2 linked regions of the Saccharomyces cerevisiae S288C genome follow. The protein of the gene in region 1 purifies or fractionates together with the protein of each later gene. This does not show direct contact. Each region holds a gene or a part of one and is shown on either strand. Other genes may lie near its edges.

Region 1 (3,254 bases):
GGAAACAGAAGTGGAAATGTTAACTGCTAGGAGTAAACTTTCACATCATCAAGTTCCCATTTGGCAATCCATTGAAATAATGGACAGATATGCGATGAAAACGCTAAGTGATACTCCAAATGGTGAAAGGTACGATGCTTGGAAACAATACTTGGAAATCACCGGAAACACCATATGCGGCGAAAAGCCAATTAGTGTGATACTAAGTGCTTTATCGAAAATCCGTGATGCCGGTCCTTCAGGCATCAAATTTCAGTGGCCTAATTATTCACAGAGTTCTCATGTGACAAGTATTGATGATAGTAGTGTCAGTTATGCTTCAGGTTATGTTACTATAGGATAATGATCACGGCTAAAACGGTCGAATGTAAGCATATATCTTTCGATTGTATAATTGTTCCCAAATACTACAGCATCTCAAGGAAAAAAAAACAAAAACTTCCAAAAAAATCGAATCCCTGAGGAATCTTTAATACATTTTCAATCTATTTAAGTTTTATAAACGTGTATATGAGATGTCATGAGCATGAATTATTAATAATAAAAACTAAATCATTAAAGTAACTTAAGGAGTTAAATTTAAGCCTTGGCAACGTGTTCAACCAAGTCGACAACTCTGGTAGAGTAACCGTATTCGTTGTCGTACCAGGAAACCAACTTGACGAACTTTGGAGACAATTGGATACCAGCGGCAGCATCGAAGATGGAAGAGTTAGAGTCACCCAAGAAGTCAGAGGAGACAACAGCGTCTTCAGTGTAACCCAAGACACCCTTCAACTTACCTTCAGCGGCAGCCTTGACAACCTTCTTGATTTCATCGTAGGTGGTTTCCTTGTTCAACTTGACAGTCAAGTCAACAACGGAAACATCGACGGTTGGGACTCTGAAAGCCATACCGGTCAACTTACCTTGCAATTCTGGCAAGACCTTACCGACAGCCTTAGCAGCACCGGTAGAGGATGGGATGATGTTACCGGAAGCGGTTCTACCACCTCTCCAGTCCTTGTGGGATGGACCGTCAACAGTCTTTTGGGTGGCGGTCATGGAGTGAACAGTGGTCATCAAACCTTCTTCAATACCGAAAGCATCGTTGATAACCTTGGCCAATGGAGCCAAACAGTTGGTGGTACAAGAAGCGTTGGAAACAATCTTCAAGTCAGAAGTGTATTTTTCTTCGTTAACACCCATGACGAACATTGGGGCGGTGGAAGATGGAGCAGTGATGACAACCTTCTTGGCACCAGCGTCAATGTGCTTTTGAGCAGTGTCCAATTCCTTGAAAACACCAGTGGAGTCAATGGCGATGTCAATGTTTAGAGAAGCCCATGGCAAGTTAGCTGGGTCTCTTTCTTGGAAAGTGGCGATCTTGTGACCATCAACGATGATGTGCTTGTCATCGTGGGAAACTTCACCAGCGTATCTACCGTGAGTAGAGTCGTACTTGAACATGTAAGCGGAGTAGTCGTTAGAGATGAAAGGATCGTTCAAAGCAACAACTTCGACGTTCTTTCTTTGCAAAGCAATTCTCATAACCAATCTACCGATTCTACCGAAACCGTTAATAGCAACTCTAACCATTTTGTTTTGTTTGTTTGTGTGATGAATTTAATTTGAAACTAAGTTCTTGGTTTTTTTAACATTTAAACAAACAATAATAAAATGAATAGACACACAAGAAAAAAACTATCTTGAATGAGTGCAACCTTTATATATTCTTCCAAACCTACAAAAAAATTGCAGGTCTGCGATCACTGGGTACTATCAAAACACATATTAGCATACGTATGTGTTCGTACGTGCGGTCCGCAAGGTCTTTGTGACAGCCATGACATGATTGGATTGAATAGTTCACTTCAGCTGTCACCACCAGTTTTAGGCCCTAACACATCAGTCGAGTTCCACTAGGCTTTGTTAGCCGTAGCTGCGTTGCAACAACTGCGCAAAACGCGCGACTTCCTGTAAATGCCGCAGATCACGTGGTAAAGAAAAGAAACAACAGGCCGACCCAGTTTCGTTGTTTCTTTTCATTATTTCTGGATGCTCTTCACAACGTATTTCATGACATACTTATTGAATTAGTGGAAGCCCAAAACATCATTACCCTGGAAAACTTAATTGACGTAAATTAACTTCAGTTGTCTTATGTTTTTTGCATCCTTAACTTTAGCCGCGCAGGGATAATCATATATGTCGAAAGAGCAACTAAACAATACTTAAAAACGTGTTTGAACTTTTACGAAAGGGTAACGACAAATAATCATTCACTGGAAAAACCAATAAACCATAAGTAAATGAAAAACTGTTTCAACCGATGTTGGTACTTTCCATGTCTTAAAAGAGTACAATTTATAAATTAATGAAAACACAGAAGTATTTAGATCGGCTCAAATGTTTTTGGACATTAAAAGATCTTGAAACTGAGTAAGATGCTCAGAATACCCGTCAAGATAAGAGTATAATGTAGAGTAATATACCAAGTATTCAGCATATTCTCCTCTTCTTTTGTATAAATCACGGAAGGGATGATTTATAAGAAAAATGAATACTATTACACTTCATTTACCACCCTCTGATCTAGATTTTCCAACGATATGTACGTAGTGGTATAAGGTGAGGGGGTCCACAGATATAACATCGTTTAATTTAGTACTAACAGAGACTTTTGTCACAACTACATATAAGTGTACAAATATAGTACAGATATGACACACTTGTAGCGCCAACGCGCATCCTACGGATTGCTGACAGAAAAAAAGGTCACGTGACCAGAAAAGTCACGTGTAATTTTGTAACTCACCGCATTCTAGCGGTCCCTGTCGTGCACACTGCACTCAACACCATAAACCTTAGCAACCTCCAAAGGAAATCACCGTATAACAAAGCCACAGTTTTACAACTTAGTCTCTTATGAAGTTACTTACCAATGAGAAATAGAGGCTCTTTCTCGAGAAATATGAATATGGATATATATATATATATATATATATATATATATATATATGTAAACTTGGTTCTTTTTTAGCTTGTGATCTCTAGCTTGGGTCTCTCTCTGTCGTAACAGTTGTGATATCGTTTCTTAACAATTGAAAAGGAACTAAGAAAGTATAATAATAACAAGAATAAAGTATAATTAACATGCCTGCTCCTCACGGTGGTATTCTACAAGACTTGATTGCTAGAGATGCGTTAAAGAAGAATGAATTGTTATCTGAAGCGCAATCTTCGGACATTTTAGTATGGAACTTGACTCCTAG
Region 2 (2,923 bases), on another chromosome or scaffold:
GCCTATATCCTCGAGGAGACACTTCCAGTATATTCTGTATACATAATATAACAGCCTTTATCAACATTGGAATCCCAACAATTATCTCAAAATTCACCAACCTCTCATGGCGCATATTCATCATGCATGTAACTACCACATCAATGTTCAATCATGGACTTTTAACTAATCTTAAGTACTATTCGAACTGCCCATTCAGCTTTTCCCTTTGCAATTGGTGCACTCCTACTTGAACGAATTCGCGGGGTGTACATTAAACTACGATGTAAACATCAAGGTTATTGCTATAACATGTCATGTCACCATTAATTACCACTCATTCCAACATACTGTCCCTGACGAAAACTGTTTATGCGAGCGCAAAATGAACCTATTCAATTAATAATACTCCTCAAATTGCTACCACGACAGGCTGAAAAAAGATGTCGACGAATAATGTAATCGTGTCAAACAAACGTTATCTTGACTATATATAGCTACTTAATTTGAAATAATAAACTATACAAGTCTATATCATTGATATATTCAGTAAGAAAAATGGAGGGAAAAAGAAATCATCAAATCATTCATTCTTCAGACTTATTTCTTACCTTGGTTGGCAACAGCAGCGGCACCAGCAGCGGCAGCTTCTGGGTCCAAGTAGTAAGATGGCTTAGATGGCTTCAAGTTTTCGTCCAATTCGAAGACCAATGGAATACCAGTTGGGATGTTCAACTTAGCAATGTCAGCATCAGAGATACCTTCCAAGTGCTTAACCAAACCTCTCAAGGAGTTACCGTGAGCGGCGATCATGACGGTCTTACCACTCAACAAGTCCTTGGCAATGACATCTTGCCAGTATGGCAACAATCTGTCAATGACCAAAGCCAAAGATTCAGTTTCTGGCAAGACATTTGGGTCAACGTACTTGTATCTTTCATCACCCTTTTGAGAGAATGGAGAAGAAGCGTCGATTGGGGGAGGTGGAACATCGAAGGATCTTCTGTAGGTGTTGAATTTTTCTTCACCGAACTTCTTCAAAGTTTCAGCCTTGTCCTTACCTTGTAAGTCACCGTAATGTCTTTCGTTCAATCTCCAGGATCTGTTGACTGGAATCCATAATCTGTCAGCCTTTTCCAAAGCAATGTTAGCAGTTTGGATAGCTCTGGACAACTTGGAAGTGTACAAGACGTCTGGGTAGACCTTCTTTTCCTTCAACAATTCACCGGCTCTAGCGGCTTCTTGTTGACCCTTGGCAGACAATTTAACATCAACCCAACCGGTGAATAAGTTCTTTTCGTTCCATTCGGATTGACCGTGTCTAACTAAAACTAACTTTGGCATTATTGTAATATGTGTGTTTGTTTGGATTATTAAGAAGAATAATTACAAAAAAAATTACAAAGGAAGGTAATTACAACAGAATTAAGAAAGGACAAGAAGGAGGAAGAGAATCAGTTCATTATTTCTTCTTTGTTATATAACAAACCCAAGTAGCGATTTGGCCATACATTAAAAGTTGAGAACCACCCTCCCTGGCAACAGCCACAACTCGTTACCATTGTTCATCACGATCATGAAACTCGCTGTCAGCTGAAATTTCACCTCAGTGGATCTCTCTTTTTATTCTTCATCGTTCCACTAACCTTTTTCCATCAGCTGGCAGGGAACGGAAAGTGGAATCCCATTTAGCGAGCTTCCTCTTTTCTTCAAGAAAAGACGAAGCTTGTGTGTGGGTGCGCGCGCTAGTATCTTTCCACATTAAGAAATATACCATAAAGGTTACTTAGACATCACTATGGCTATATATATATATATATATATATATATATATATATGTAACTTAGCACCATCGCGCGTGCATCACTGCATGTGTTAACCGAAAAGTTTGGCGAACACTTCACCGACACGGTCATTTAGATCTGTCGTCTGCATTGCACGTCCCTTAGCCTTAAATCCTAGGCGGGAGCATTCTCGTGTAATTGTGCAGCCTGCGTAGCAACTCAACATAGCGTAGTCTACCCAGTTTTTCAAGGGTTTATCGTTAGAAGATTCTCCCTTTTCTTCCTGCTCACAAATCTTAAAGTCATACATTGCACGACTAAATGCAAGCATGCATGATATAGCTCCTGTCAAAGTATCACCTTGGCCTCCTACCCTCTTGTTGCTGCCCTCTTCGCTGTTCGTCAACATGTCTTTTTCACTATCGGGTGAGAATATCTTATCTGACTGACCTTTCTCCACCACAATACAATTCAATTCCTGGGCGATCAAGCTGCCCATCTCGGAGTGAGAGTCTCCCTTCTTGCCTATGGCATCACATAGTCTTTTGAATTCTACCACATTGGGCGTCAAGATCACTCTACCTTTGGGGTAGCTTTTCAGCATTTCTTTGACTTCGCTATCTTGAGTTACTAAGAACAGTCCATCAGCATCAATTACTAACGGGATCTTGCCCTCATGTTTTTCAAGTATATATCTTATGATATCCTTAATGGATTTTAACATTAGGGGGTCCCTACCCAAGCCGGGTCCAATTACCACAACGTGGATTCTATCCAATAAGGAATTGATTTTCTTCCTTTGTTCGTCCATATCAACGTCTAATTTGGTGTTACTCATACGAAGGTATGGATGAACCATTAGGTTTGGGGTGTACGATTTAATGACCGTACCAGCGTTGTATTCGCAGATGACATGTGTCAAATCACAGCCCATCAAGGCTGTAGCATTGGCGCTGAAATACGGTGCCCCTGTATAATCTTCGCATCCTCCAATAATGCAAACTCTCCCACCAGACTGTCCCTTATGAAACTTTGGCAATAAAGGTGGTATACATCTTTTCTGCGCCAACTTTATCAATTCTCTATGAGACAATTCTGCTAACATTTCCAGTGATACGGTAGTGATCGTATTGAACTGGTGTTGCTAATAAAATTTCACC

What was found. Proteins that work in one complex are often made in the same cells at the same time.
Region 2: the proteins of TDH2 (region 1) and GPM1 purify together in Saccharomyces cerevisiae (affinity purification with mass spectrometry; 2 studies listed by BioGRID, with this or other methods). This does not show direct contact.

The regions. Positions count from the first base shown.
Region 1 is NC_001142.9:453,104-456,357, forward strand, and holds TDH2 (glyceraldehyde-3-phosphate dehydrogenase (phosphorylating) TDH2), read right to left. Parts: upstream 1,579-3,254; coding exon 580-1,578; downstream 1-579. Other genes in the region: MHO1 (Mho1p), read left to right, coding at 1-343; MET3 (sulfate adenylyltransferase), read left to right, coding at 3,136-3,254. UniProt on the Saccharomyces cerevisiae protein: Glyceraldehyde-3-phosphate dehydrogenase (GAPDH) involved in glycolysis and gluconeogenesis. Catalyzes the reaction of glyceraldehyde-3-phosphate to 1,3 bis-phosphoglycerate.
Region 2 is NC_001143.9:163,063-165,985, forward strand, and holds GPM1 (phosphoglycerate mutase GPM1), read right to left. Parts: upstream 1,324-2,923; coding exon 580-1,323; downstream 1-579. Other genes in the region: NNR2 (NADHX dehydratase), read right to left, coding at 1,855-2,868. UniProt on the Saccharomyces cerevisiae protein: Interconversion of 3- and 2-phosphoglycerate with 2,3-bisphosphoglycerate as the primer of the reaction. Can also catalyze the reaction of EC 5.4.2.4 (synthase), but with a reduced activity.